4 linked regions of the Macaca mulatta genome follow. The protein of the gene in region 1 interacts with the protein of each later gene in a biochemical or structural test. Links are inferred from orthologs where the notes say so. Each region holds a gene or a part of one and is shown on either strand. Other genes may lie near its edges.

Evidence for each region.
Region 2: the proteins of UBE2B (region 1) and RNF40 form a complex in vitro, tested with the Homo sapiens proteins (3 studies listed by BioGRID). The link is inferred for Macaca mulatta from reciprocal best matches to the Homo sapiens genes UBE2B and RNF40.
Region 3: of the proteins of UBE2B (region 1) and H2AC20, one has a biochemical effect on the other in vitro, tested with the Homo sapiens proteins (2 studies listed by BioGRID, with this or other methods). The link is inferred for Macaca mulatta from reciprocal best matches to the Homo sapiens genes UBE2B and H2AC20.
Region 4: the proteins of UBE2B (region 1) and UBR1 form a complex in vitro, tested with the Homo sapiens proteins (2 studies listed by BioGRID and IntAct, with this or other methods). The link is inferred for Macaca mulatta from reciprocal best matches to the Homo sapiens genes UBE2B and UBR1.

Annotation. Positions count from the first base shown.
Region 1 is NC_133411.1:143,287,484-143,296,176, forward strand, and holds the start of UBE2B (ubiquitin-conjugating enzyme E2 B), read left to right. Parts: upstream 1-4,043; 5' UTR 4,044-4,465; coding exon 4,466-4,509; intron 4,510-6,640; coding exon 6,641-6,721; intron 6,722-8,693. UniProt on the Homo sapiens protein: E2 ubiquitin-conjugating enzyme that accepts ubiquitin from the ubiquitin-activating enzyme E1 and transfers it to a E3 ubiquitin-protein ligase. In vitro catalyzes 'Lys-11'-, as well as 'Lys-48'- and 'Lys-63'-linked polyubiquitination.
Region 2 is NC_133425.1:29,387,926-29,395,926, reverse strand, and holds part of RNF40 (E3 ubiquitin-protein ligase BRE1B), read right to left. Parts: intron 7,926-8,001; coding exon 7,784-7,925; intron 7,152-7,783; coding exon 6,945-7,151; intron 6,080-6,944; coding exon 5,958-6,079; intron 5,846-5,957; coding exon 5,699-5,845; intron 5,602-5,698; coding exon 5,527-5,601; intron 4,865-5,526; coding exon 4,745-4,864; intron 4,649-4,744; coding exon 4,469-4,648; intron 4,287-4,468; coding exon 4,151-4,286; intron 2,793-4,150; coding exon 2,671-2,792; intron 2,584-2,670; coding exon 2,156-2,583; intron 2,068-2,155; coding exon 1,950-2,067; intron 1,849-1,949; coding exon 1,699-1,848; intron 1,501-1,698; coding exon 1,288-1,500; intron 1,212-1,287; coding exon 1,086-1,211; intron 1-1,085.
Region 3 is NC_133406.1:117,259,860-117,266,681, forward strand, and holds H2AC20 (histone H2A type 2-C), read right to left. Parts: upstream 5,469-6,822; 5' UTR 5,412-5,468; coding exon 5,022-5,411; 3' UTR 5,002-5,021; downstream 1-5,001. Other genes in the region: H2AC21 (histone H2A type 2-B), read left to right, coding at 4,469-4,861; H2BC21 (histone H2B type 2-E), read left to right, coding at 5,746-6,126. UniProt on the Homo sapiens protein: Core component of nucleosome. Nucleosomes wrap and compact DNA into chromatin, limiting DNA accessibility to the cellular machineries which require DNA as a template.
Region 4 is NC_133412.1:20,457,126-20,465,126, forward strand, and holds part of UBR1 (E3 ubiquitin-protein ligase UBR1), read right to left. Parts: intron 2,558-8,001; coding exon 2,495-2,557; intron 2,269-2,494; coding exon 2,145-2,268; intron 1,640-2,144; coding exon 1,532-1,639; intron 824-1,531; coding exon 735-823; intron 1-734. UniProt on the Homo sapiens protein: E3 ubiquitin-protein ligase which is a component of the N-end rule pathway. Recognizes and binds proteins bearing specific N-terminal residues that are destabilizing according to the N-end rule, leading to their ubiquitination and subsequent degradation.

The sequences.
Region 1 (8,693 bases):
GAGCCGCCGCCTCAGCCCATTCTGTGGTCCCGCTGGCCTGGCTCTGCGTAGTTCCAGTGGGGCTACGGAACTCTGATACTACTTCGTTGCTTAGCCCCGCAAAGATCAGGCCACTCGCTACCATGGAAACGCCAGCAGAGTTGCTGCGTTCTAGCCCTCGTGCGCAAGACCGGAACATGGGCAGGGTCCTGACCCGGAAGGGGAAGTGAGAAGAAACGGAAACCTGCTCTGGGTAGGCAGAGGGTGGAAGAGTGCTGCGCTTGGGAATGGGGGCGGGGAGTACAGGTCGCTGTCACAGCTGAGCCTCCTCACAACGTTGCTTTTGAATGGGGATAGGGAGGGTCTGCCTTTTTTTGTTGTTTGCTTTTTTGAGAGAATTGTGCAGTGGCGCCGATCTCGGCTCACTGCAACCTCCTTCTCCCGGGTTCAAGTGACTTTCCTGCCTCATCCTCCCGAGAAGCTGGGATTACAGGCGTGCGCCACCACGCCCGGCTTTGTATATTTAGTAGAGACCGGGTTTCTACTATGTTGGCCAGGCTGGTCTCGAATTCCTGACCTCAGGTGATCCGCCTGCCTCAGGCTTCCAAAGTGCTGGGATTACACGCTTAAGCCACCGCGCCCGGTCAAGATGGTTCTTAAAAACTTTTCTTGAACACCTGCCATACGCCTTTAAATTTTTTCCAACTGCTGTTTTTTAAAGGAAAAAAACTCCCTCACCACGTGTCAAACTCTAGGGAAGCAAGTAATTCGAAGGGTTCCACCATATACGAAATGATGTACAAGAGCGCAGAAATAAAGAGGCCAGTGTTTAACTGCTTAAGTAGACATAGAGTTCAGCTGGAGTGACAGTCCCTAATGAATAACCACCGTATCACTAGAGCAAGTGCCTAGGGAGTGCTTTCTTTATTGAATAGGGCTTTCTTTGCTTTTTTTCTATAAAATGAGTTAAATGTAAAAAGCGAAATCTCGCCATGCTTCCACTAAATAAGAGAAAAGGCAATACTTAATAAATTCTAGTCCGGTGGGTACCGCCCCAGCATGCATATTTAAATCACACTTGGAGAGCTTTTAGAAAGCAACTCCCAACTCCCACATCCACACCCCCGCCCCAACACCAGAGAGCCTGACTTAATTGAGATAGGGTAAATAAATTAGTATGTTTGAAGCTTCTCAAGTTTTCTATGCTGCTACGGTTTATATTGAGAGAAAGGAGAAGTGGTCATCGTTTTCACTGATCACCTAAAATATTCAGAATTGTCTTATTTGAAAGTTATTCAGCAGGATGCGGTGGCTCACGCCTGTAATTGAACACTGTGGGAGGCCGAGGCGGGCGGATCACGAGGTCAAGAGATGGAGACCATCCTGGCTAACACGGTGAAACCCTGTCTCTACTAAAAAATACAAAAAATTAGCCGGGCGCGGTTGTGGGCGCCAGTAGTCCCAGCTACTCAGGAGACTGAGGCAGGAGAATGGTGTGAATCCGGGAGGCGGAGCTTGCAGTGAGCCGAGATCGCCCCACTGCACTCCAGCCTGGGTGACAGTGAGACTCCGTCTCAAAAAAAAAAAAAAAAAAAAGAGAATGTTATTCAACCACAATATAAAACACCTTCTATAAATAAGAATGTCATAGTAAATCTTATAGTGGGTTCAAACTTCGTGTAAGCATATTATTTGCTGTGGGCAAAATATTTGCAAGGAGGCTGCGCACAGTGGCTCACACCTGTAATCCGAGGGAAGCCAAGGTGGGCAAATCACTTGAGCCCAGGAGTTCCAGACCAGCCTGAGCAACAGGGCAAAACCCCGTCTCTACAAAAAATTAGCCGGGTGTGGTGGTGCACACCTGTGCTCCTTGGGCAACTGAAGGAGAATTGCTTGAGCCTGGAAGGTCAAGGCTGCAGTGAGCCCTCTTCACACCACTGCACTCCAGCCTGGGTGACAGAGCAAGACTCTGTCTCAAAAAATAAAAAAACATTGCCCAGGACAAAGATGAACCAAACTCAGTCCCTGCCCTCAATGAACTCATAATCCAGAGCTACAGAATTGATAACAGCATACAATTAATAGCTTTAAAATTATTCCTTCTACAAGTAGGTTATGGCAGGCCTGGTTAACCAGAACAGCCAGTGATTCTTGCTAATACACAGCTGTAAGACTTTATGATGCACATGCACTGAATTAGTTAAAAGTGTTAATTCATTTTGGAAAATTTAAACTGTTTCCGAAACAATTATAAATCCCTGTAGTCACGGAATTCCTAAATTCCATTGCCTCCAGTTCCCATCTTTAGGACTTTGTTGGTGCGTCAGGAGGACTCAGCACTTTTGTATCCATTCTTCAGCTCAACAAGGAAAGGGAGGTAGGAGAAGGACCTCAGCATTGCCCTAATCTTGCCCATAGTTCCATGGAACCAGAAAGGGTTAACTTTTCCCACTTTCCTTGTACCTCCCTTTTTTCAAACCCTGAATTCTGTCTCTGCTTTCAGTGACTGCCTAGACTGATAAATTATAAGGGTTTTTTGGTTGTTGCAGGGTTTGAGACAGGGTCTCAGTGGCATGATGATGGCTTACTGCAGCTCAAACGATTCTTCTGCCTCAGCCTCCTGAGTTGCTGGGGCTACTCGTGTGCACAGAGACAGGATCTCCTATGTTGCCCAGGCTGGTCTTCAACTCCTGGCCTCCCAAAGTGTTAGGATTACAGGCATGAGCTAATGCCCCAGCTCATGAGGGATATTTTTAAGATATAGTTTCTATTTACCATTTTTCTCCATGTAACCCTGCCTGTGTGTCTTCCTCCTTTGCTATTGGAAGGGTTAGGACTGCAATGGCAGAAAAGCAAAAACATTAAGAATATTCAGCTTTTAACTTAGAAAACACATTGTGAATGTCTAACAGGACCTATCAAGAGTTAGGCCTGGCTAACTTGATCACTAAGGCAGTCACTGGAAGCTGAGAGAATTCAGGGTTTGAAGAAAGAGGTACAAGGAAAGTCGGAAAAGTTAACTCTGCTTCCATAGAACTAGGGGCAAGGTTGAGGCAATGCTAAGGTCCTCATTCCACCCTCCCTTTACCTGTTGAACCGAACAATTCCCCAAATGGATACAAAAGTACTCAGAGTCCTTAGTATAACAAAGTCCTGAAAGTAGGAATTAGCAGCAATACAGGGAAAGACAGTAACTACAAAAAATATTCAAGGTCTGTGGGAGGTCAACACCTCTGAACCCCCTGGTGGTGGGGGGGCACTTCTCGCCCATTTGCACCTTTCTTGCTAGTGTAAAAAACCTGAAGTTGTCTCAGGCTGGATAGATAACCCTCACTCAGGTCTGCTGGAGCTCTCCCCCACATATGAATCATATTTGTAGGTTTCTTTGACAACCAACCACTCATTGATATGCTTGGAAGACTGCACCCCCACATTCTTAAAAATACAATGGTACTCCCCCCCATAGGCAAGTCCCCGGACTCTGACACATATCTTCAATTGAAAGCAGACCCAGAAAGGAAAAACTGCATAATACACCATCCTTTAATGTTTGCCCAGAATTTCCAATACTAGAAACCCCACTGCAAAGCAGAAAGACTATTTGGTAGCTTCAAGGAACCATTTCAGGAGATTGTTGTGTGGCCCTCAGTATTCAATGCTGCCTTAGAAGATCTTGCGATCCTCTCTCTTCTTGCCCCAAGTACCAGAGTTCATAAGCCACTGAACCAACCAGAGGGGAGTTATTTTTGGTCCCGGTTTAAAGAAAACAAAACAAGCTGTTGATCCTCCCACGACCTCTTGGGTAATGTCTCTATACCTGTGATAAACCGAAAACAACTAATAAAGGTGTATCCAGCCCTCACCCTCTTAGACCCGCTTCACAGACCTGGCCGAAACTCACATCCAGGCGAGGCTCTCACGTGACCCGTTCTAAACGCGTCACAGGGACACGTGGTTCTAGATACTTCTCCCCCTCCCCCTCAGGGGTGGATTGTTGACAAGGCCGCGGGCAGTCACGTGATCTTACATCATCCCACCTCCTTTCCCTGAAATCCCTGGCCCGGATACGTCCTTCTTTCTCCACCCCGCCGAGCCTAAACTAGAGACGGGGAGGCAGACAGGATAGTGTGTCGGTTTCGTGGTCTCTGAATCCACAACCTCTAGTCTGAACACAGAGAACACAAATTTGTCGATCACTTCAGGAAGCCCAGGAAGAACCACGCCCCGCTGAAGGGCTCAGGGAACGCGCGCTCCCCCGTCCCGCCCCCTCCTCCCCCAGCACTCACTCTGTGGTAGCGGCGGAGGGCGGAGGGATCCGGAGGCGGCGGAGGGAGACGTCATTGCAGGGTTGTTTGTCAGTCTTGGCGGCGGCGGCGGCGGCGGCGGCGGCAGCGGCGATCCACAGTGATTCGGCCGCCGCGCCGGGGGGTGGGGGGGCTGCGCGGGACTCTTTTCTTTCAGACTGACCGCGGGGCAGCTGCGGAGCATGTCGACCCCGGCCCGAAGGAGGCTTATGCGGGATTTCAAGCGGTAAGGGCCTTCAGCTTCGCATAGATGACGGCCTCTCAAAGCTGCGGGGCTGCAGGGCGTGGATCCCGGACACCTTCCCCTTGTGACCCTCAGAGGGTCGGCTGTGGGCCCAGGGGGACTGGCGGAAGCCGGGTCCTACCTCGGCCCCTACTCTCCTTATCCTTGCCGCTCGCTCTGGCGCCCGAAGAAATTTCGATACTGCTTCCCCTCCCCCCAAAAAGTAAAACGATGTCGATCGACTGGTCTAGGGTTCCCCGCTGCCCATTTCGGCCAGCTGCCCGGGGTCTCGTCCAGGGGATCAGACGGGGATCAGACATCATCCTCCCGCCCCTGCACCCTGCGGAGACCCTTTCTTGTCCCCTCAAAGTGAGCTCCCGCGGGAGCTTGTTCTTCTCCGGCAGCACCAGTCAGCTTTGTTTCAAGGCCCCTCAGTCTTCTCCGAGGAGCCGGGTTGGGGTGAACCTCCCCAGCCCCCCACCCCCGCCAGTCCTTTCCATTTCTGCCGTGAGGGTGGGGTCCAGTGCGTGAGGCTCGGAGGTTAACCCATCCCCCGAAACCCGACTCTGTCCCCGCCCGCCTGAAAAGACCTTGGGAACTGACTTAGAGATCTGGGACCTTAGAGCTGGCCACCCCGGCTGCCAGTGCCTTCTGGAACTCAGATCTGGCTGGTGAAGAAAGCCCTATCTATAGCCTCCCGAGTCTGGAAAAATGCCTTCCCTTAGACTGGCGCTAATTTGATACTCCCTGGGCCTTCTTTGGTAAATAAAATAGGGTTTTGTTAGGAGGTATTGGGGTTGTGAGGAAGAAAATGATTATTCCGTTAGTTTACCTTTTATTGGATACTTAGAGACGTAGAAAAAACAAAATAACGTAGAAAAAACAAAATAAGTGAGAAAACATTTTGATATTCTGCACATTTTTCTTAAAATTTTTTCTGGGGACACCTACCCTAATTGAACAAAATAGCATAAAAACATAGATTTGTCGCTCAGGAAGTCACCTCTCAGCTATTATAAAGCCTATGTGAGGCATTTGGATTTGGCCAACTTATTTAATTCATTCGTAGCTTCTCTTAGCCATTTAAAGGTAGGCGTCAAGCAGTGCAGTTCTTCTAAGGCTTCTGTTTGTGGTGGCCTAATTTGCTTGAGATTGACTAAAAACCTTTTTTTTTATGTGGACTAGTTGCAAATTATGATGCCCCATGAAAACAACTCCATATGTATTTGTGAGTGTGTATAATGTAGCATTTTTAAATTGAGGTTACAGTCTCTGAAAGGAGATGCCCTTTTTGGTGCAAAAGTCATTTTTCTAAAGCTTGAAATCAGTGTATCTGATTAGCACTCATGACTAAAATTCAGATAGTAAACTAGTTCATGTCATTGTCGCCCTGGCTCCTTACTGTAATGCTCTGCTTAATTCTGAGTTGAATACATGGCACCTTTTGTAGTTTTCCAGAGATCTATAGGTTACAAGAATTTGACTATGACGAATGTGGGAAAGCCTTGTATTGAGTCTCCTGATTTGAGAGGTAGATTTGATGTTAGTGCAGAGCCTTTAAAATAGGGACTGGCGGAAAACCTACTGATTACTTTTTAAAGCCATTGCTGTTTGAAGCAAAAGGGATAGAGTAAATCTGCTGCCTAATACTAGTTTCCTAGTTAAATTTAATGTGTTTTCAGTCATTTCGTGTTTACACTGAGGTTTGCTTTTTTTTTTTTTTCTTGTAGCCATTTTGCAGAAGTAGCCGTGGTTAGGATACACAGTCTTTGCATGTTTAGAGCAGCAAAATCAATGGTTCTGTAAAAATATTACTTGCTTTTGAGGTTTTAAACTTTTTTTGGTATAAGAGGACAGTCTATATACATCAATTCTTGAAGAGATACTCTTGATAATATTGAAAGAGGGATGATTCTCAAGCCCTTCGGATTTTTAGGTAATTTGGAGAGGTATTTAATAAGTATATATACCTGGTTAATATATCTAAGTCATATGGTTCATTTTAGTTCACAATAACAAGGAAATGGAGTTAGTCTGTGTCTCAAAATAGATGGTGTAGTGTCTGTAGGTGTTTATGTGGCCTCCTTAGTGGCCTTAATGTTCAACTTTTTAAATTACAACGCTGGATTTCTAGGTTACAAGAGGACCCACCTGTGGGTGTCAGTGGCGCACCATCTGAAAACAACATCATGCAGTGGAATGCAGTTATATTTGGGTGAGTTGAAAGGTTTAACAAATAATAGGTGTGTGCTGAATCTTTAAGAAAAGTGAACATATAACAACTGTCTAGGAAAAGAAACTGAGGTAGAATGAGAGATCTTAAGGACTAAAACTGCAAGATAAATTAGAAAAAAATTTTTTTCAATTAGAGTTTTGGCCCAGCACAGTAGCTCAACGCCTGGGAGGATCGCTGGAGCCCAGGAGTTCATCACCAGCCTGGGCGATATAGTGAGACAGTGAGACTCTGTCCCCTCTCCACCAAAAAAAGAGTTTTGGCCCAGTCTGGGCAACATAGTGAGAGACCTTGTCTCTACAAAAAGTATAAAACTAACTGGGCATGGTGGTGCCCAGCTACTTGGAAGGCCGAGGCAGGAGGATCACTTGAGCCCAGAAGTTTGAGGCTGCAGTGTGCCACTGCACTCCAGCCTGGGCAGCCAGCTATCCAAAGAAAAAAAAAAAAAAGGGAAAAAGTTTCAGCAGTTATACAAAGTTTATTTGCTCTTTGATGTTATTACATATGGTTTTATAATCACTTGGGGTTTTACTTTTAAGATACTACTCAAAACTAAATGGAATGGAATAATAAGGAGAAACAATACATTACTTTGTATAAAACATATCATGCAAATGCTCTCATTCTGTTGGAGCTGTTAAAAGGTTTGGAACCAAAAATATTAAGAACTTCCACTGCTGCAAGAATTTAAGTGAAAATGATTCACAGCCCAGTGTAAAATAACAGAATGCAGCCATTTGAGAAGCAGCTGTAAATTTTACCTACTATATATATTGCATATATGCTTTTTAATTTAAAATTTCCTTATGCTTTTTTTTGTTTTTTCTAGACTTGATCTATTTTTTTCTTTCATTCCTTTGATACTAGAGTTTTGCATTAAAAAGTAAAAGGAATAGGTTGATAAACAGAATTCTGACACTACAGAATCAGCTACAAGAGTCTACATTTAAAGACTAGTGGAAAATGAGTGAAGTTCATCCTCATAAAGTACTTCTGAATCTGAGTTGAATACATGGCACCTTCAGGATATTATCCTGCTGCTTTGAGATCCTGAATATGCCTTGCAAGTAATAATTAAGCTTTATGCTGCTGCTTAGGAAAGATGAAATTGGGATGTGGGGGCAAGGATCTGAGCAAACAAATCTGGCTCTTTGGTGACATCAACTATGCTTAGCCTATTTGAACAAAAGTTGTGGCTCCATTGGAAAGCAGGACACTTGGGTTTAGCATCATAACTAGAGTATTGCTTTACTTCTTATTGCTGTAAAATGAAAAGATGACTTTCCCTCTTAAGAATATACATGTGGGCCAGGTGCAGTGGCTCATGCCTGTAATCCCAGCACTTTGGGAAGCTGCGACGGGTGGATCACCTGAGGTCAGGAGTTCAAAACCAGCCTGGCCAAGATGGTGAAACCCCATCTCTACTAAAAATACAAAAATTAGCTGGGCGTCTGTAATCCCACCTACTCGGGAGGTTGAGGCAGGAGAATTGCTTGAACCTAGGAGAAGGAGGTTGCAGTGAGCCAAGAATGTGCCATTGCACTCCAGCCTGGGGGACAAGAGCAAAATTCCATCTCAAAAAAAAAAAAAAAAAAGAATATACATATGTACAAAATGACTGGTCAGCATTAATGAAAGTTTTTAGGCCGGGCGCGGTGGCTCAAGCCTGTAATCCCAGCACTTTGGGAGGCCGAGACGGGCGGATCATGAGGTCAGGAGATCGAGACCATCCTGGCTAACCCAGTGAAACCCCGTCTCTACTAAAAAAGTACAAAAAACTAGCCGGGCGAGGTGGCGGGCGCCTGTAGTCCCAGCTACTCAGGAGGCTGAGGCAGGAGAATGGCGTAAACCCGGGAGGCAGAGCTTGCAGTGAGCTGAGATCCGGCCACTGCACTCCAGCCTGGGCGACAGAGCGAGACTCCGTCTCAAAAAAAAAAAAAAAAAAGTTTTTTTG
Region 2 (8,001 bases), on another chromosome or scaffold:
AAACAGCTTCAGAGGAAATGGAAATCAATGTTAATGTTAAGCTTTTAGCCAAAGCTAGACATTTCTTATATTTAACACAACTATGTGAGAGGGCACATCATCCCCAGTTTACAGTTCACCAGTGAGTGGTTAGAAGGTAGAGCCTGGAGTCAAGGAGGCTTGGACCCACATACCAGGGCCACTCCCTCTTGAGCATATCAGTCCACCTCCCTGAGCCTCAGTTTCCTTATTTATAAAATGAGGTTAAAAACAAAATTCGGCCAGGCGTGGGGGCTCACGCTGTAACCCCAGCACTTTGGGAGGCCAAGGTGGGCGGATCACAAGGTCAGGAGTTTGAGACCAGCCTGGCCAACATGGTGAAACCCCATCTCTACTAAAAAAAATACAAAAATTAGCCGGGCATGGTGGTGCGCACCTGTAATCCCAGCTACTTGGAAGGCTGAGGTGGGAGAATTGCTTGAACCTGGGAGGTGGAGGTTGCAGAGCCAAGATCACAACACTGCACTCCAGCCTGGGCGACAGAACAAGACTCCATCTCAAAAAAAAAAAAAAAAAAAAAAAATTTCCACCTTTTATTTTTTTCCTAGGGACAGAGTCTCATCCTTGTCACCCAGACTGCAGTGCAGTGGTGTGATCATAGCTCACTGCAGCCTCAACCTCCAAGTGATCCTCTCACCTGTCAGCCTGTCACTTGAGAAGCTGGGACTACAGGCACATACCACCACAATCAGCTAATTTTAAAATTTTTTTGTAGAGATGGGAGTCTCACTATGTTGCCCAGGCTGGTCTCCAACTCCTGGCCTCAAGCAAACCTCCCGCCTCTGTTTCCCAAAGTGTTGGGATTACAGGCGTGAGCCCCCAAACCCGTAAACACCATCTTGATAGGATTAATGAGACTGAAATGTGACCAAGCATGTCAAGCACTCAGCATGTGGCCTGGCGCATGTAAATGTTCAGGATGTGTGAGCTGTTCTGTGACAGCCTGGCTTCATCTTAGGCTATCGCGTTGGGTGCTCTGAGCAGAACCGGAAGGTGAGGAGGTGAGCCAGCAGCCCAAGTTGTGTGTCCCCCTGGCCCAGCCTCACCTTCCGCTTGTTGAGCTCCAGGGCTTGGCTGCGCAGCGTCAGCTCCTTCTCCACACCCCCAAGGCTGCCCTGCAAGGCCCGCTCCTTCTCCTCCAGCTTCTGCACAGTCAGCAGCTGGGCATCCACCTAAGGACCAGAGGAGGACTCAGGGGCATGACCCCCGCCTCTCCAGCTCCACCCTATAAGCTGGGGGCGGCCATACCTGGGACTTGAGGCCAAGGACCTGCTCGCCCAACTCATCCTTCTCCTCCCGCAGCAGCTTGTGAATCTGATTGGCCTTGATCCGCTCTGACATCAGCTTAAAGTTGGCATCGTCCTTTTCCCGCAACTGCTGTAGCAGCCGCCCATTCTGTTCCTGCATGTCCTCAAAAGCCTGACCTGTCACATCCATCTCTGAGAGCAGAGCCTCCTCCTCCTGCAGCAAGTGGGAGGAGACAAGATGGAACATGGGAAGTGGACAGGATGGCTATGGGGGAACCATGGGAAAACGCAGCAAAGCAAAGAACCACAGAGGGGACCCAGATCATCAAGGTGCTGCAGGCACTACAGGCACCCAACAGGGTTTGAAGGGATCTCTCTGCATTCGGAGGCGAGGGCAACACAGGGGCCGCACCTGCTTGGTGGCACCCAGCTTGCGCTGCAGGTGTTCTATCTGCTCCTCTGCCTGCCGAATGCGCCGCAGGGCATCCTCATCCGCGATCTTCTTGCTCTCCCTTCGATCCCTCTCCTCCAATTCCCGGATGCGGCTCCGCAGCTCATCAACCTACAGCACAGGGAAAAAGGAACTCTCTTGACACTGCTTCCTGCTGACCTAGGACTCTGTTCTGCCTTTCTGCATGTCCCACAAGCCCCAGCTGCCCTCACCTCGGCCTTGGCCTTGCGTTCTGCTGCCATGAGCTGCACCTTATCCCGCTGTTCCTTAGGTGCTGACTTGTACATATCCAGCAGCAGTTTCATCTCCTTCTGGCTCTCCTGGGCCTTCCTGGCAAGGAGGTACAGGAGGAAGTCTTGGTGAGTGGGACTGGAGGCCACCTGGCAGGGTCAGGAAGGAGACAGGAATACAGTCTCACTTGAGCTCTGCTCGGAGACCCTTGAGGAGTTCTGATTCCTTCCTCTTGGCTTCTTCCACCTTGGCCTTCTCCCGATCGGCCCTTGAGAGAGCGGAGGCTACAGGTGGAGGACCCAAGCCAGGACCTTCTCGTTCCCGAAGCTCCCGCTTGGGCCTGGCCTCGGGTTCTCGGCCCCGGGAGGAAGGGCCCTGGGCCCCAAGGGTTAAGCCCTGGACATCCTCTTCAGAGGGGACCAGCTCCTCCTTCTTCACTGAAGTGGTAGTAGTGGTGGTGCCAGGCACTGGAGCCATTTCCTTTCTGTTGTCGGGGGTACTGACAGGGCCTGGCCCACCCTCCTCTTTCCCTGGGGCTGGGGCACTGAGGCCAGAGTCCTCTGGGTGGCCCAGGTTGGGGGTGGAGTGGGTAGAGCCACTGGTCTGGGCCCGGAGCTGCAAAGGCAGAGAGGAAGAAGGATGAAGTCAGATGTTGTTCATTGGAGTCTAGCCAAAGCTTTTCCCAGGCAGGCCCCTTCTTACCTTGCCAATCTCAGCTTGTACTTCTCGAAGCTTCCGCTTGTATCGCTGGGCGTCCCCTTTTAGCTGGTGGTTGTGGTTTTGAAGACTACTAATCAGGTGGCGCATCTCACGGTTGATGGGCCCTGGAGAAGCACCAGGAATTAAGGGTGTCAGAACCAGTTCCTGGGTTAGGGCTCCAACCCCTCAGTGTGGGAAGAGGCTATGCCATCACTCCCACTGTGCAGGAGGGGAACACTGCGGCCTCAACTGAGCATGAACTCACCAAAGTAAATAATGCTGACTTCAAGAAAACTCACCCAAAAGTAACTTGACACTGCCTATTCATATGACTTTTGCTAATGTAGAACATGTTTTTTGTTTTTTTAAAACAGAAACAGTGTCTCACTTTGTTGCCCAGGGTGGTCTCAAATTCCTGGCCTCAAGTGATCCTCCCACCTTGGCCTCCCAAAGTGCTGGGATTACAGACATGAATCACCATGCCTGGCCTATGTTTTTTCTTTTTTCTTTTTTTTTTTAATACATCCAATTCCCTTTAATAGAGAAGGTAACTGTAACATTCACAAAAGTTAGTCAACTTTTTCTAGATTCTTTGTTTTTGTTTTTTGTTTTTTTTGGGAGGGGGGACGGAGTCTCGCTCTGTCACCCAGACTGGAGTGCAGAGGCGCAATCTCCGTTCACTGCAAGCTCCGCCTTCTGGGTTCACGCCATTCTCCTGCCACAGCCTCCCGAGTAGCTGGGACTACTAGCGCCCGCCAGCACACCCGGCTAATTTTTTGTATTTTTAGTAGAGACGGCGTTTCACTGTGTTAGCCAGGGTGGTCTCGATCTTCTGACCTCATGATCCTCCCGCCTCAGCCTCCCAAAGTGCTGGGATTACGGCGCTCTGAGCCACTGCGCCCGGCCAACTTTTTTTAGATTCTTAAACATCACCTTCCCAGTTGCATTTCCCTAGCCACCTATCCAAAATTGCAACACCGTTTCTCCTGATACTTCCTATCATCCTTTTCTGCTTTACTTTCCTTACTGTATTTGTCAGGAACTAACACATTTTCTACTTTTCTTCTACTAGTTCGTCTTTCTCTAGTCTGTCTTCTATCAGAATGTTGCTCTACATGGCAGGAATTCTGTTTTGTTCACTGGCATAACCCCAAACCCTAGAACAGAGCCTGGCTCATAGGTGGCATCTGATAAATCTTTGGAACACAGGTATCTGAGAGAGAGAGACATCATCAGACCAGAAGACTGTGGACAGGGCTGACAGCTCAAACTCTGCATGTGCCTGCTCCATCAGCCATCCCAGCTGGCGTGACCCTCACTGTGCCTGGGAGCCAAGCAGTGCAGGCCCTGTTTTGCATAGGAAGCCCAGGCTCTGTGAAGAAAAAAAGGCCTTAGCCTCTTGCATCTGGATAAGCAGCGGCCCCACACCAGGGCCCAGCACTCCCAGATAAGGCCCCACCTCCGCCCTATCCTCACCACATACCCGCCTGCTCGTTGGCCGCCAGATTCTGCTCAAACTCGATGCGCAGCATCTCGTACTCCTTGCGTACCTGGGCCAGCGTGTCCTCCAGCTGAATGACCTCTGTGCGCAGCTTCTTCTGCAGCCCCAGCTCGTCGCTCTGTGGATTGACGTGTTAAGGACCCACACAGTCCCTCGGTCCCACCTCAGGATTCAGTATCTTACGAAAAATCTATTCCCCAGGGACCCCTGGCTGGCACACAGGGCCTCTGAAGCCACCAACACCTCAACACTAAGGGTCTGGCCCTTAGCCCAGTCCCCACACCTGTTCCAGAGCCATACCTCCATGTGCTCTATATGTCGCAGATGGGAGTTTTTGGTGGCCAGCAGCAGGCCCCGAGCCTCGTCCAGCTGGGTCTTCACTTGCAGAGACTCGTTGTAGAGCAGTGAGAACTGGGCCTGCAGCATGCGGTACTCCCCTGTCTCCCGCACTACCTCCTCGGGAAGGCTCCGCAAGGCCACCTGGGGCAGGGATGCCCAAATGGGATCAGCAAGAGGATTCAGGGCTCAGTCCCTCCCTTACAGGCATAGGCCTTCTCAGCTCCTACGGCAGCCCACCTTGAGGCGCTCATTGGTCCGCACAGCCCCCTGAAGTTCAGCCTGCAGTTTCTCCAGCTCTGCCATGCGGCTGTTGGCCAATTCCTGGTTTTCCTCCAACTCTGCATTCAGCATCTCAAACTAAGGAGTGGGAGGCGGGGCCATGGGAGGCAGGGCCAGGTGTGGCAGCAGGCTTCCCTTACATCCCCAGCAAACACTCCAGCCCAAGCACTCCGTGCAGGGCAATGACCGATTCTGATGCCCCAAACCAAGTACTTTCCTAAGGGCTCCCAGACAAATGGGAGAAAATTCAATACTGCATGGTTGGTGTTGAGAACTAAGGCTCTTAACTGATGGGGAATCACGGAAGCATTCCAGGAAGGCCTAAAGTGCCAGTAAAGGGAAAAAGGGCACAGTGACCACCAGATGCCAACTGACTCCAACTCACTCCTCTCTCTCTCTTCTGTGCTTTATCTTTGTGGTACTCATAACACAATGATAGGCTATTTTACCAATTTCTTGTTTGTTACAACAAGTAGAACCTAAAGATATATTCTTTTATTTATTTCTTGTCTGGTCCATGAAAGTTTTAACCTCTATTTTGTTCTCCCCAATATGCCTAGTGCCTAGCACTAAGTGTTCAAAAATCTACTCAAAAAGTATATGAATGCATGAAAGAAAGAGCAGCAGGAGTGACCAAGAAGGGCCTTGGAGATGGACGTTTGTCCTTCATCTCGAGGGGAATTTCAAGAGTGCAACACAGAAGAGGTCGTGAGAAGGGGTGGGAGGAAGACGCCGCTCACCTTCTGCATGCTGAGTGTGATCTGGCCCCCCTGGAAGCCTGAGGAGCTCCCAGACACATAGTAGCCAGAGTTCAGCTGTGGAGAGAAAACAGACAGGCAATGGAAGTGGAGGGGAGGAGCTAGGGCCCAAGGGCCCAGCCTTGCCTCACCTGCCCCAGTACCCCTGCCCCACCTGCTCTAAGGCCTCTGCCAGGTGCTTATTGAGCTTTTGCTCTCGCTTCCGCAGCTTCTCAATGTCCCACTGCAAGTCCTCCACTGTTGTCTCCATCTCCAACACCTTGGTCTCTGCCGACGTCACTTTATCCTGGAGCTCGGAGTACTGGGAACAATGAGGGAGCAGATGCTTGGATGGGGGACTTGGTCCCTGAGGGCCCATCTAACCCAAATCCTGCCTGATTCTAATCCCACTCCCAAAGCCCCTGGCTCCTCACCTCCAATGAGATGCGGTGGTGTTTCTCCTGCAGCTGGGTGGCCAAGTCCTGCAGTCGCCGGTTCTCACGGCCCAGCTCTCGGGTGCGTGCCCGAGCCACCTCACTGAGGGGCTCACTGTCCCCTGGGAAAGCAGGGCCCAGGTTAAGAGTCCAGCTCAGGGCAATGGGGCAAAGAACTAACTCATTCTGGAGTCTGCTATGTGCCCAGTGTGATCCCCCAGCTGTCTTGCCAATTTCTCATGACAAAGCTAGGAGTCTTTATCTCCACTGCACAGAGGAGGAAACCAGCTCAGAGAGGGGAGCCACTTTCCCAGCACGTCCAGGTGAGGGTGGCAGAACTGAAGTGGGAGAAGCCTGTCAACCTACAAGGCCTGAGCCCTTGAAGCTATGCCTTGTGGATCTGCAACCCACACAAAGTGCTCCAGAGGGGCCTCTGGACAGGAGGCTCTACTAGCATCAACAGCTCCTCCAACCCATCTCTCTAGCATTCAGTCCAGGAATCAAAGTTGGAACCCCCATCTACAGACTAACCTACCCCTCCCAAGAACGTGGCTGATATATTCCTTGGGGAATTCTGGCCGCCCTTGGACTTGGGCATTAGGGGAATTGGAAAGGGGTGCCATCAAGATGCAGGTAGGAGGCCGGGCGCGGTGGCTCAAGCCTGTAATCCCAGCACTTTGGGAGGCCGAGGCGGGCGGATCACAAGGTCAGGAGATCGAGACCACAGTGAAACCCCGTCTCTACTAAAAATACAAAAAATTAGCCGGGCGCGGTGGCGGGCGCTTGTAGTCCCAGCTACTCAGGAGGCTGAGGCAGGAGAATGGCGGGAACCCGGGAGGCGGAGCTTGCAGTGAGCCGAGATCGCGCCACTGCACTCCAGCCTGGGCAACAGCGTGAGACTCCGTCTCAAAAAAAAAAAAAAAAAAAAAAAAAAAAAAGATGCAGGTAGGGATGGACACCTCTTGGGTATGGGCACAAAGAACCCACCTCGGCTATACACTCGCTGACAGAGTTCCTCCACCCGGCGCTGTAGGCGGTCTGAGGCCTCTACCACATGAGACACAGCTGCCTTAGAGAACTCCATTCGGCCTTGCAGCTCCAGCTCCACCTCCTCACTGCTGCTGGCACCCAGTGCCACCACAAAAGCCAAGGCCGGCTCACTGAGAGGGGGCCGCAGCTGCAATGGCAAGGGCTCTGGAAGGAATGGACAGACCCTCATGAGGATAATAGCAGCAGTTACCACCACTCTGTACTAAGTTCCAGACTGAGCCCTTCAATATTCATGGCTCACTTAATCAACACAACCTATAGTGCACTATTATCTCCATCCTGAAAGTGAGACAAATGAGGTTCAGGGAGGTAAAGTAATTTCCTCAAAGCTACAGAGTTGCGTATCACATCCTCAGGGATGCCTCCTGTACTTTCCCAATAAAAATTAGAATCTCACACACACACACGTGTGCACACACAATTATTCCCTTTCAAGAGCCCCAGTACTTTCTGCTTACTATGTTTGTAATTTCCTCCCTCATAGCAAATGCAATGAGCAAGTACCCATTTCTAGAAAGCGTCAAATACATAGTTAACACTCAACCGTAATACTGTTTTCAAACAAATGGGTGTCGAAACATGAATTGCTCTATAAACCAAGTTAGTCAGAGTCCAAAGCCTGTATTTTTGTGCACTGCACTTTACCACCCAAACATGAAATCCATTTCGTGGGGAGTAGTAAGGCAGGCAATTCAGAGGCCCAACACCAAAGTCCCCTCCTCCCCAGGACTTTTCCCAGAACTGAAGCTCCCTAGATCCCAGAACTCTGGTCTCACCCCTCAGCTCTGATGTCCCCGGCTCTGGGAGAGGAGTCCCATCACATGTGGGCCCCTCCTGGGTCCCAGGTGCTTCAGGCGCTGAAGACAGCTCCCCCTGGCCCTCATGGCATCGGAGAAGGGCTTCCACAGTTTCATCCAGCTGGAAGGAGAAAGCATCAAAAATGTTATGAATCCCTTAATGCTTTCCAACATTATACCCCTTTTCCAGCAGGGGA
Region 3 (6,822 bases), on another chromosome or scaffold:
GTAGAATGTCCCTCAATCTGGGTTTGTCTGATGTTTCTTTATGATTAAAATTTAGCACATGCATTTTTTGGCCAGAATACTGCAGAAGTAATGTTGAATTCTTCTCTGTGAAACTTACCAGGGCACGTGATCTTTATTTTTCTTATTACTAGTGATAATTCTGATCATTTGATTAAGATGGTATCTGTCAGGCTTTTCCACTATAAAATTCCTTTTCTGTCTGTAATTGTGGAAGATACTTTAAGTCTATCTACTTTCCTATTTCTCCATTATTTTTTTTCCCACTAATTTTAGCATCTGAGAAGTATGTTTGAGACATCTCTTAGGGGTTGTTGAAGATAAAATGAGATCATGAGGGTGGGGCTGAGGTGTGGTATGTGATCACCTGGGGAGAGAGTAGATGGTGAGAAAAGAATCAGAATGTTTATTAGAAAGGCCACTCTAGTGAGGAGTGGGAAGAGTAGAAGCAGGGAGAGGAGCAGAAAAGTCTTTGTTGGTAGTCTGGGTGAAAGATAACCTGAGTGAAGGCACAAGATGGGCTAGAGAGAAGTAAATTGATTAGAAAGCTGCTACAAAGATGGCATCTATAGGACTTACTTTGGTTAGGACCTTGCAGTTTGCAAATCCAGTGAAACCCCACTTCTACTAAAAATACAAAAATTAGCCAGGTATGGTGGCACATTCCTGTAATCCCAGCTACTTGGGAGACTGAGGCAGGAGAATCTCTTGAACCTGGGAGGCAGAGGCTGCAGTGGGCGGAGATCGTGCCATTGCACTCCAGTCTAGGCGACAGAGCGAAACTCCATCTCAAAAAAAAAAAAAAAAAAAAAAGCACAGTACCGAATGGTGAGTGCTGTCACCAGGATATGAACAAAGAGATGTGGGCACAGCAAGGATATTTGTGTGGGAGTAGGGAAGTTCTCCTCTAATAATTCTTTCTTCCTTTTTTTGTACAGAGGAAGAAACAATGGCTGGATAAATTAAATGACTTCATTAAGCCCAACATCTAGACATCGTGAGGAGCATGTTCTTTGAGTCAGGCAGACCTAGATTCTAATCATGTGGCTGTGTGACCTTCAGCAATTTTTTTTTTTTTTTTTTGAGATAGAGTCTTGCTGTGTCGCCCAGGCTGGAGTGCAGTGGCGCTGTTTCGGCTCACTGCAACCTGTGCCTTCTGGGCTCAAGTAATCCTCCAACCTCAGCCTCCCAAGTAGCTGAGACCACAGGTCACAGGTGTGTGCCCCACCACACTCAGTTAATTTTTGTATTTTTTGTAGAGATAGGGTTTCGCCATGTTGCCCAGGCTGGTCTCAAACTCCTGGGTAAAAGCCATCTGCCTTGGTCTCCCAAAGTGCTGGGATTACAGGCGTGAGCCACCACACTCAGCCCAGCAATTGTTTTAATCCCTGTGAGCTTCAGTTTATTTGTGAAACACATAATTTTATCTACTTTGTAGGCAGTTGCTACTGTAGGGTTTATCATAGTAGGGTTTCAACATAATCTTTTTTTTTCTTTCACCCTTCTTATGGCACAGAACACTGTGATATAAGTAAAAAAGAAATCAGAGGTCAAGTCCAGGCGCAGTGGCTCACACCTGTCATCCCAGCACTTTGGGAGTTCGAGGCCAGCCTGGACAACATGGCAAAACCCTGTTTCTACTGAAAATACAAAAATTAGCTGGATGTGCTGGCGCATGCCTGTAATCTCAGCTATTTGTCGGCTGAGGCATGAGAATCACTTAAACACAAGAAGCAGAGGTTGCAGTGAGCTGAGATTCTGCCACTGCACTCCAGCCTGGGTGACAGAGTGAGACTCTGTCTGGAAAAAAAAAAAAAAAAAGAGGAGGTCAGAGAAAGAAAGGAAGGTCAGCATGCCCCTCAAGCAGGGCCTTATGGGGTGCCAGGATTATGGTAGGGTCCCCTATCATCTGGGTTTTTTTCTCTGCCCTTTAGGTCTGAAAAGTTGACACTATTAGAACTTCCAGGACTGACTGGCTTCTTGGGGAGGGACCCATGCTAACAAACTACACGAAATTTATGAATAGTCCAAAATGCAAATTCATTGAATTCTATGATGAACATCTTTCTATAACTGGCTCCCCCTACTTCAGTCTTATGTGTTTATCTTGGAATAGAACAATCAGAAAGTTGTTAATTGAGCACAGAATCTGAATGAAGGAACTTGGATAGTCTTCAGAAATATTTCACCCAGGCTGTGAGAAAAGGCTGATGCTTTCATAACCAAGGACCCTTTTCTAGTAGGCCAAACTTTGCCTCTGCCAGATATATTTTATTGTTGGTGAAAACATATTTCTACTACAATTGCCACCTGTTTGGACTCTATGTAGACTGCACCTTTCTGTTAACATTCATCTTCTCAAATGATATAATCAATTGGATTAGAAGGATCTTAGGTTACACCCTGGTCACCTCTGTCTGAACTTTGGTGTTCCCCAAATCTATACCAGCATTCTTACCAGGAGTAATCTCTAGACGTAGCTGATTTTAACTAATTTAACTCTCAGAGTTCACCAGATTTCCTCCATTTTCTGGAGGCATTTCATCACAGACTTGTTTGTACTACTTTCAATTATCTATACACCCATTGCCCAACAGCACACATCCAATAAATGCCAGTTGAATAAACTGGTGAGAATAAAGGAGGAAACATCAGAAAAGGTGTCAAATAATAAGATTTAAGTATTTTCTGGCCGGGTGCAGTGGCTCACGCCTGTAATCCCAGAACTTTGGGAGGTTGAGGTGGGCAGATCATAAGGTTGGAGTTTGAGACCAGCCTGGCCAACATTCGAGATTTGAGATCAGGAGTTCGAGATTAGCCTGGTCAACATTAGTAGAGATGAAACCCCATCTCTACTAAAAATACAAAAATTAGCCGGGCATGGTGGTGGGCGTCTGTAATCCCAGCTACTTGGGAGGCTGAGGTGGGAGGATCGCTTGAACCCGGGTGGGTGGGGGCGGGGTAGAGGAGGTGGTGGTGGAGGTGGCAGTGAGCTGAGAAGTGCTCCAGCCTGGGCGACAGAGCGAAACTCCGCCTCAAAAAACCAAAAAAACCACAAGTCTATTTTTTCTCTCTATTATTCTACCTGACCTTAAGGGATACTAAGGAAAGGGTGAGAATGGTGTAGGAGATGTAGAACTCCCAGAGATGGGACGTTGAGGAGGAAGAAACACAAGAGCTTTCAGGTTCATCTGTTATATGGGATAAAAGAAAAAAAGAAGAGCTTTCAGGAAAGATTTCTAAGGCCGCTGGAGTCACACCAGCAATTAATGCCTGACAGCAAAGTTACCCTTTCCCGGCTGTTGCTGAAATCTAAGGGATGATGATGAGGTGGACAAGGGAGCGTGGAGAAAAAGATTGAAGGGATATTAAGGAAGCAACTGACTGGACATGCTGAGACAAAGGGAAGAGTAGAGTAGATTTCGGCTTAGTTATCTGTAAGTATGCTGGCGCATTTCAGGAAGAGGGCAAAGAGGGGAGGTTGTTTGCAGGAGTTCGCGTTCGAATAGGCTGAGGTTGAGTTTGAGTTTGAGGTGCTCGTTGGGACAAGTAGTAGGTTGAAGTATTCAGTAAGCAGTTAGGCACAAGGGTCTGAGCTTCTGAAACAAATTTGGATGTTAGTTGAAAGCATATAAATGGGTAAGACTCTTCGGGATAAGTGAAGAATTGGAGATAGAGAAGCAGAATCCAGCTGGACTCGCAGATTTAGAGATGGCATGGGGAAGCAGGATAAGAAAAGTCGGCGAGCTAAGAAGAAAAACGCAGGGCGACATTTTGAAAGCCAAGGGAGTAAGCTTCAAGGCCGCCTCCTGGAGGTCAAGAAGATGACAGATCTAGCCTCGGTCAAACTGAATTCCAAGGAGTGCAGGCGGGTGGGGGTGGGGCGGAGTCGCTGCGGGCGACTTAAGTTGAGGGGCGAGAAAGGAGGCAGCCTTAGTAGTACTTGTATTTTTAAAGGGAATTTGGCTGTGACGAGACAGAAAGGGCGGAACTTAGTAGTTTAGAGCTCAAGGGGATCATTGGCTTCAGAATCCCCTACTCTTGCGTGAGAGTAACTCTCAGTCTACGGATGTCTTCTGCAGTTTCTTAGGGTCCATGTTGGGATTTACCGGCTGTAAACTAAACAAAGCAAAGCAAAACCCCATAGTACAAGACATTTTGTTTGAAAGCCTACTTTCTTTAAAGATCCTGCCATGCAAATAAGGGGCTTTAATGTGGCTCTCAGCGATTGGTAGATACTTACGAAATCCGTCATTTCCTTTCAGGGCAGGATGCAAACCAAGAGGCGGCTTTCTGTTTTTCTATTGGCTGTTGGATACGGCTCCGCTTTTAGCCAATCAAACGACTTCCCTTCACCCCTCCCGGTAGCTCTTATAAATTACATCAAATTGGTTATTCTTTCCACATTCTTCTCCTTGTAAAAGAAGCTGTAACTGCAATTTTAGCCGTAATGTCAGGACGCGGAAAGCAGGGAGGCAAGGCCCGCGCTAAGGCCAAGTCGCGCTCGTCCCGCGCTGGCCTCCAGTTCCCGGTGGGGCGAGTGCACCGCTTGCTGCGCAAGGGCAACTACGCGGAACGGGTGGGGGCAGGCGCCCCGGTGTACCTGGCGGCGGTCCTCGAGTACCTGACCGCGGAAATTCTGGAGCTAGCAGGCAACGCGGCTCGGGACAACAAGAAGACGCGCATCATCCCTCGCCATCTGCAACTAGCCGTGAGGAATGACGAAGAGCTCAACAAGTTACTCGGGGGTGTCACCATTGCCCAGGGCGGCGTCTTACCCAATATCCAGGCTGTCCTGTTGCCCAAGAAAACGGAGAGTCACAAGCCTGGCAAGAACAAGTAATTAAGAGGCTTGACACCATACTCATTCACCCCAAAGGCTCTTTTAAGAGCCACCAAAGTGTCAAATGAAGGGCTGATCACGAAATAGCGCATTAGCTCTTTTTTTGAAAACTTGGGTGGCTCTAAAAAGAGCCTTTGGTCTTTGGTTTGTTTGTCTGCATTTATTTGCTTTTGGCTTTGTGGCTTTCAGTTTTCTTTGGTAACAGAACGGCCTGGATGTTAGGCAAAACGCCGCCCTGGGCGATGGTGACTTTGCCCAGCAGCTTGTTCAGTTCCTCGTCGTTGCGGATGGCCAGCTGGAGGTGACGAGGGATGATGCGCGTCTTCTTGTTGTCCCGAGCTGCGTTGCCCGCCAGCTCCAGGATCTCGGCGGTCAGGTACTCGAGGACCGCCGCCATGTAGACTGGCGCGCCAGCCCCCACCCGCTCCGCGTAGTTGCCTTTGCGCAGCAAGCGGTGCACTCGCCCTACCGGGAACTGGAGGCCAGCGCGGGACGAGCGCGACTTGGCCTTGGCGCGAGCCTTGCCTCCTTGTTTGCCACGACCAGACATGACTGAAACCAAGGTTAAACACAGACAATGCTCAGAACCTCGCTACAAAATAAGCTTGAAAGAGAACCAAGAGGAAAGCCTTTATAAGCTTTCCTAGGGGTGGGGTCTAGAACGAGTTTTTCATTGGTCCTAATATGGCTTCAGAACCGGCCAATCAAGTCAAGAGTCGGTGTTGTTGCGTACGCATTGCTGAAAACGCAAGGTCCGCACACGGACCAATGGAAATGAATGACTTTCGGAGCCCTAATTTGCATAAGGTGGTTATAAAAGAATCAGGCCCGCCCATTCTCTTACTTCTTTTCTTGGCTAAGCCGCGTTTGTACTGTGTCTTACCATGCCTGAACCGGCAAAATCCGCTCCGGCTCCTAAAAAGGGCTCCAAGAAAGCCGTCACCAAAGCCCAGAAGAAAGACGGCAAGAAGCGCAAGCGCAGCCGCAAGGAGAGCTACTCCATCTACGTGTACAAGGTGCTGAAGCAGGTCCACCCCGACACCGGCATCTCGTCCAAGGCCATGGGCATCATGAACTCCTTCGTCAACGACATTTTCGAGCGCATCGCGGGAGAGGCGTCCCGCCTGGCGCACTACAACAAGCGCTCCACCATCACGTCCCGCGAGATCCAGACGGCCGTGCGCCTGCTGCTGCCCGGCGAGCTGGCCAAGCACGCCGTGTCCGAGGGCACCAAGGCAGTCACCAAGTACACCAGCTCCAAGTGAGTCCCTGCCGGGACCTGGCGCTCGCTCGCTCGAGTCGCCGGCTGCTTGACTCCAAAGGCTCTTTTCAGAGCCACCCACCTAATCACTAGAAAAGAGCTTGTTCACTTACTCCCTTAGTTTCTTCTCATAAAGTAATTTTAGCGTAAAGGTCATGGGAAATGCCACACGTAGGTTTTTAACCATTTGGAACTTGAGGTCCCCGGTGCATGATTGGATTTGCTTTTGAATCTAGAGCGTGTCTTCACTCATTGTGCTGCTTAGCATTCCCAGGAGTCGGTTCTCAATTAGGATGTTGGGAATCCGCCTCTTTACCCGCCCCCACTCCCGCCCCATACTGGCGCCCTGGTGGCTTCTTGGGTCTGTTTCATTCTAAAACGAAGTGGCTGAGTTCGGCTGTTATTTAAGAGAACTCCAGGGCACGATTCAGCCCAGGTTCCGCAAACACTGCGTGACAGCTGTGTATGACTGACGCTTGGCAGCACCTTTTGTGTCCGGTCACCAGTTCTGCTGTGCGATGGGGTCTCCTGTGGATACCAGCCGTTCTGTGTATTTTGGACGAAGCCCGCGCAGCCGGGTCCCAGCCTTTTCCTGATTGGGCGACATGAATATTCAAAATTCTGCGCCTCTTTCTAATTTGTAGATTTCAGTTTCCGTCGTTCACTTTGAGACTTTGAAATTCCTATTTCTCGTTTTGTT
Region 4 (8,001 bases), on another chromosome or scaffold:
TTTAGCCTCACATTTTAGCTTCCAACAATTAAGTAGAACCCTTGGCCACCTAATTTCTGCACCCCACTTTAGCATACACATCTGTTCTTCTTTCCTGCTATCCTTTATCAGTTAGTTACTTCTATTCTTACTGTAATTTTACAAACAGGCAAATAAATGACTAGGAAGACTGAATGCATATGTGAATGTGATAATCTCCCTTTGCTCTGGGTCAGTAGGTCATTTTCCACCTATCTCTCCTCTAAGAGCGCTGTTTCTATACAAGCAAATGACACTTGTGAAAATATTTATGTAATGTATGAGAACGAACTTTTTTTTTTTTGAGATAGGAGTCTCACTCTGTTGCCCAGACTAGGGTGTGGTGGCGCAATCTTGCCTCACGGCAACCTCCATCTCCAGGGTTCAAGCGATTTTCCTGCCTCAGCCTCCTGAGTAGCTGGGGCTACAGGCACCCGCCACCATGCCCAGCTAATTTCTGTATTTTTAGTAGAGATGGGGTTTCACCATGTTGGCCAGGCTGGTCTCGAGCTCCTGACTTTAAATGATCCACCCACCTCCGCCTCCCAAAGTGCTGGGATTACAGGGGTGAGTCAACCCTCAGGGCCAAGAATGAACTTTTGATAAAGAAATGAATCATAACATTTAATTTTGGATTCATAATTATCTGTTTCTATTAATTCATTTATAAAAACTGCCTATTTGTATTTATTGATATCTAATTTATAAATAATTACCTTCACAAATTCCATAGCAAAGAGTTTTTTGTATTCCATCTCCATAAAAAAACTGCTGAAGATCAATTCATGAAGGATCTTACGGGCACCTATAGATTATTTTGGGGAGGGTGGGGGAATGAGGGGAATCACCAAGGCAAAAACCAAAAACATTCCATCTATTAGAGTGGCAGAATATTATAAAATTATTTCACATGCAAACAGACCTCAAATATAAACAGTATTTATTGTATTAATATTTAATAACTAGAATTTAAAATACACACATATATTGCCTTTTCCCTTTTTTTCTGTACCCCTCCCACCACTTCATCTTACACTTCAATTGATTCTCTCTCAACCTTTTCATTCTTTTTCTATTTCACTCAAAAGTACTCTTACTCTGAACTTTTCCTTCTCCATGCTTTTAGCCTTTCTCTTGACTTTTACACTTTGTTCTTCATTTAGATTTTTACAATGAAAAGAGCTTTTTTTTTGCCACTCAACAATGGCATTACTACTTGAATTTATAGATACGTGTGTGTGTGTGTGTGTATATATATATATATATGTATATACTCTTTTTGACTGGCTCTCACTAAATGAAAAGACTCTATAATTAAAAGATAACATCCCTGCGTTTTAACACCAAAGAATACATACTGACTGGTTAAACTTGATATTCACATGTAATACCTTATCAATCAAGATCACAGATTTAATAACTAATTTAATAAACAAAAGATATTACAGCTCCACTTTAAGATCATAATCTTCCTTTGCTTCCTGACAAAAAGCATAAGCAAATGTCTACTTACCTTTATAAAGCTTTGCATCCCAAAGCATTAACCTGCTTATGAGACAGGGATTCTCTGAGTCAGGTTCTTCTCTAAGGCATGCTTGGCAAAAGATCTGCCTAAAGTCACCTACAAACAAAAGAGGTCACACAATTACACAACTTGTATTCTTTTTCTTTTTACATAGAGATGAATCTCACTCTGTTGCCCAGGTTGGTCTTGAACTCCTGGGCTCAGGTGATCCTCCCGCCTCAGCCTCTCACAGTGCTGGGATTACTGACACAAGCCACTGCACTCAGCCATAATTTTTATTCTTATAATATTTATCCTAAAAATACATTTCCTATAACATGTGAAAAGACTAACATTAATCCTCCCACATTTGATGTAAAGAATAATTCTGTCAACATCAAAGACTCAACAGTCAACAAAAAGGTATTATTTGATACTATGCACTTGAAATAATATCTTAAGATATTATGCATTTGAAATGCAACCCTGAAAATTAATCAAAGTGTATAAACCAAAAAAAAAAAAGAAAAACTGTATTTCATACTCGATGACATTTTAAAATTTGTGACTATAAAAAACACAGTATTTTATCAGAAACAAGAAAAACAGGAGGTATGCTTACTTGAATAGCTCATAATTTTGTTCATCCAGGAACCAAGACGCAAAGCAAATTTCTGATGAGCCATAATCTCTGAGTGTAATACTTCTACATGAAGTGGATGTTGAGAGACATTTTCTGAATGACTCTACAAATGAAGGGAACAAACCAAAAAAATAGCATTTAAAATTTGCTTTTAGTTAAGGCATTTATACTTTAAAAAAAGAAATCACATAACCCTGCCAGTTCCAAATCTCTGCATGTAGGTGCCCCAAACCACTTCAACAACATCATCACTCAAATTATTCTACTTGGGCTCTTGTAATGTACATTTGTCTTTAACTTCTCTTTTTCCCCTGAATTCAGAAAGTTACCTTTATATCTTCCTTTGCTTCCTGGCAAGCAGCATAAGCACCCGCTTTAACAGCCCGACGACCCTAATTATAGACAAAAGTGACAATTAGGTAATGAAATGATAACCACAATCAATAAGCAATATGTAGCCCAAAGACTTAATGAGCTCTTAATTACTAATCACGTGTCGACTAAACGTTGTAAGATACTGAAACAATACCTGAAAGACAGATGCAAATGTTTAACACCTTTATGAAGCTTGAAAACTTTAATATATCTAGGAGAGACATTCTATAATTTAAGATGCTGAGTTTCTTGCCTGGCAAGAATGGTAGTTCTTTAGTTACTGAAGTGTCCTCTCTACTTGTATGAAACAATGACTCAGGCTTTCTAAACTTCTGCTGTGTGTTTAAAATATTTTTCAAGAATGAATTCACAGTTCTTCAACACGTATCCTATAATATACTTGTGGCCCATTAACGACCTGGAAGTATAGCTGGACTACTGATTCCACCAGTCCTGGAGGCGCTCATGCAAGGTCTATGTAGGATTTCCTTGTAGCGTATTCTTTTATTCACCTGTAAAAATTTATCATTTTCTACGTGTGTCATGTGAAAAAAGTCAGGAAGCACTGTCTTCCTCATTTAACCTTTACAATGACCCTATGAAGAAGGTATACCCCATTTACAGATGATAAAAAGAAAAATAAGACAGAAGTTAATTTGTCCCCAAATCAGAAAGTTAGCAAGTGACAGATTCAGAGATCCATGACAAGCATTTCATCTCCAGAGTGTGCACTTCTAACCATCTTGTAATATTCCCTCTTTAGCTCCTTAGTACATAAGCATAAGAACTATCCAAATATATTTGGACTACTAATTACACCAGTAAGGTTGCCATTACAGAAGAAAAAAATGCACAAAAAGCCAGGCCATAAGAGATTGTTGAAAGAACACATAAGACAAGAATAGTTATATAAACTTGAGCTCAATCAGCTTATATGTATGTGATGCTGGCAATTAACCTAAAGCACTGGATCTCAATAAACGGGGGGAGGAAAACCACCTCATATCCACATTTTTTGGCTGCTATCAAAAAATAACAAGGGAGTTTGCTGACATGGTGGATGGGAGGCAGGACTAGATTGGAGCTCCGACTCAGATGGACGGAGGAGCACACAGAGGCTCACATCATGAATTTTAGCTTCAGAACGACTGCAAGAACAAACCAGGAATCCAAAGAGGACCCACAGACCTTCTGAAGCAGGGGACTGCTCCTGCAGGACCTGGGAGACACCCCAAATACTCAGTCCCACCATCTTTCCAGAGGAAAAGAAGTCATTATATGAAAAAGATACTTGCACACACATTTTTAGCAGTTACAATTCGCAATTGCAAAATCATGGCACCAACTCAAATGCCCATCAAAGAGTGGATAAACTGTGACATATCTATATATACACACATATATACACATACACATACATACACACACAAACACACATATATGTATATATATACACACACGTATACACACACACACACACACACACACACACACAGAGGATGGAATACTACTCAGCCATAAAAAAGGAATGAATTAATGGCATTTGCAGCAACCTGGGTGAGACTGGAGACTATTATTCTAAGTGAAGTAAATCAGGAATGGAAAACCAGACATTATATGTTCTCACTGATACGTGGCAGCTAAGCTATGAGGACGCAAAGGCATAAGAATGATACAATGGACTTTGGGTACTTTGAGGGAAGGGTGGGTGGGGGAAGAGGGACAAAAGACTACAAATAGGATGCAGTGTATACTGCTGGGGTGATGGGTGCATCAAAAATCTCACAAATCACCACTAAAGAACTTGCTCATATAACCAAATACCACCTGTACCCCAATAACCTAGGGAAAAAAGTATTGACAAGGATGTGGAGAAGCCCTTGTGTATTGTTGGAGAATACACAAAATGGAGCAGCTACTACAGAAAACAATATGGTGGTTCCTCAAGAAATTAGAAATAGAATTCCCATATGATCCAGCAATTCCACTTGTGGGCATGTACCCAAAAGAACCGAAAGCAAAGACTTGAATGGACTTTTGTGGATCCATGTTCATAAGAGCATTATTCACAATAGCAGAAGGTGGAAGAAACCCAAGTGTCCACTGACAAGATGAACAGGCAAACAAAATATGGTGTGTGTGTGTGTATATATACTGTATACAGTACAATACTGTACATATATGTGTATACACATATATACATATATATACACACACACCACATATACCATATACATATACATGTCATATAGTTGATAAAATATGGATAAACTTTGAGGACATATATGTTAAGTGAAATAAACCAGTCACAAACAGACAAATACTGCATGATCTCACTTGTATGAGATATCTAAAATAGTCAAGCTCTTAGAAAGTAGAATTGGTGGTTGCCAGGGGATAGAGGGAGGGGAAAAGGGGGAATTGTTCAATGGATATAAAGTTTCAGTTTTGCAAGACAGAAAAGTTCTAGAGATCTGTTGCATGACAAGATAGTTATTACTGGTATATGGTACATCTAGAAAAAGATTAAAATGATAAATTTTATGTTATGTAGATTTTACCACCATTAAAAATTTTACTGATTGACTGGAGATGGGGTCTCACTCTGTTGTTCAGGCTGGAAGGCAGTGGTGTGATCAAAGCTCACTACAGCCTTGAACTCCCAGGCTCAGCCTCCTAAGTAGCTGGGACTGCAGGAATCCAACAAAAATAACCTTTCTTAATGATCAAAAAATACACAGGTGGGAGTAGATCAACTGAAGGGAGGCAGTGTTTTCAAAAGAGACAGGCATTTCTTTCCTATTCTCTTCCCCACACTCCCAATTCTGATTTCCTAGGCTTGGGTTGGCATGTCTACTCCGAAAAAAAAAAAATTCTTTCCAAGTATTTCTAATAGGTTACCTTTATCCTCACACTATAGCTGAAAGCACAGAACTACAAGTGTGTATCTTTAAGGATTTATAAAACAGACTAACTGCAACACAGTTTCTTCTAGCCAAAGAGTACATTTTTCACCTTAATTGGATGTACAACATTATCTCATGTCCTATTTTACTTTTTGAATAATCATTTATTAAAAAGCTTTTCTTGCAATCACCATCACCTTATGGAGCCTTGGGATCCCAAAACAAGACAACCTATCAGTAGATAGATTAGCTGTAGCTACAGGCCTTCTCCACTTTGACTGCAGAGGAGAGCAGTAACAGGAAGAAATGCTAGGAGGAGATAGGGCAAACACTGGGAGACACAGATCTTTCCATTCCATATGAAAACCGACAAAGCACAGCCCCACGCTTTCGCAAGTCAATTCTCCTGGGACACCGGTTTATCCTACCGGTATGTATCTTTTCAGAGTCCTAAGATCATGACAGCTCACAGTAATCCTACCACAATAATAGACCTTATTATCTACCAAGACTTTCTCTTATAATCTGCAATATTAACCTTGTACATAAGACGGCAAAAATGTGACCAAGGAGCCGGGTGCAGTGGCTCACACCTGTAATCCCAGCACTTTGGAAGGCCAAGGCGGGCAAATCACCTGAGCCCAGGAGTTCAAGACAAGTGTGGGCAACATAGTGAGACCCTGTCTCTTAAAAAAAAAATTATTTTTTTAAAAATATGAACTTAAAAAGAGCACCATTACATCTTTAAATTTTTTCTTGAACGCCTGTTTCTTTCTTTTATTAATATTTTTTTTTTTTTTTTTTTTTTTTGAGACGGAGTCTGGCTCTGCCACCCAGGCTGGAGTGCAGTGGCCGGATCTCAGCTCACTGCAAGCTCCGCCTCCCGAGTTTACGCCATTCTCCTGCCTCAGCCTCCCGAGTAGCTGAGACTACAGGCACCCGCTACCTCGCCCGGCTAGTTTTTAGTAGAGACGGGGTTTCACCGTGTTACCCAGGATGGTCTTGATCTCCTGACCTCGTGATCCGCCCGTCTCGGCCTCCCAAAGTGCTGGGATTACAGGCTTGAGCCACTGCGCCCGGCCACTATTAATATTTTTTGAGATGGAATTCTGTTCATTGTTGCCCAGGCTGGAGTGCAATGGAATGATCTCGGCTCACTGCAACCTCCACCTCCTGGGTTCAAGGGATTCTCCCGCCTCAGTCTCCCCAGTCGCTGGAATTACAGGCATGCACCACCACACCTGGCTAATTTTGTATTTCTAGTAGAGACAGGGTTTCTCCATGTTGGTCAGGCTGGTCAAGAACTCCTGACCTCAGGAGATCCGCCCGCTCAGCCTCCCAAACTGCTGGGATTACAGGTGTGGGCCACCGTGCCCGGCCTTTGAATGACTGTTTCTTTCATAAGAACAGTAGAGAATAATTCTTTGAAGGCAGATTCTATCTAATTCATCTTGGTATTTCCTCAAAGAGCTTTAATAAATGTTTAGTGAACTCACTTAGAGTGTGTATCTTTAAGGGTTTGTAAAACAGACTGTTTTATACATTTTAAGAAAATCTTTGATAAACTATTATTTACCCGGGGGAGGAGGTTGAGAGAAGGAAATAGAGTTTGATCAGTATGAGGTTATTATCATAGGACAGCTGAAGAAAACAGAAGAAAACAAACATAACAGTTTTTTAAAACTATTCGATGGGTTGTCATCTGAAAGCAAAATAAAGAGCTTTTCTGGTTTGTTCTATAAGAAATTAGTCGGAAAACACATGGAGACAGATTTTGGCTGAAAACAGGAAAAAAAGTTTTCTAAGAATGAGAGTTGTCCAACAAGCAAAGCAGTCAGAGAAACAAACTTTCTAAGTGCTAAAAGCACAAGTTAGAGGACCAGCGATATTGTGCTCTCAATATAAGGATGGCCAATTTCACTGGTTTTTCACTATTTCCTATCTTACATCTTTTTTTTTTTTTTTTGAGACAGAATCTCGCTCTGTTGCCCAGGCTGGAGTGCAGTGGTGCAATCTCAGTTTACTGCAACCTCCCCCTCCCAGGTTCAAGCAATTCTCCTGCCTCAGCCTCCTGAGTAGCTGGGATTACAGGCATGTGCCACTACGCCCGGCTAATTTTGTATTTTTAGTAGAGATGGTGTTTCACCATGTTGGCAAGACTAGTCTCCTGACCTCAGGTGATCAGCCTGCCTAAGCCTCCCCAAGCACTGGAATTACAAGCGTGAGCCACCACACCCGGCCCTATCTTACAACTTTACCATCAAACAGGGTCCTACCAGGGGAAAAACAAAAGGCTCCATTTTTCTCCTAAGAAGGATATTTAAAGATTGTCTTTTAAGGTCTTTGTGATTACAGCCAGCTAGTGTTTTCTGAATGAGACAGGGTATAAATATATATTTAATAATTATTGTGAAAATCTAACATCCCAAGTAGATTTTACTTTGTACAACTAGTACTGTAATTGAAAATCATAAGCCTGATTAACCTTTAAAGTTCCTTCTATGACCTATAACTACAGCGTAGCAATAGTGATACAGGTATTGACATCTGACTAA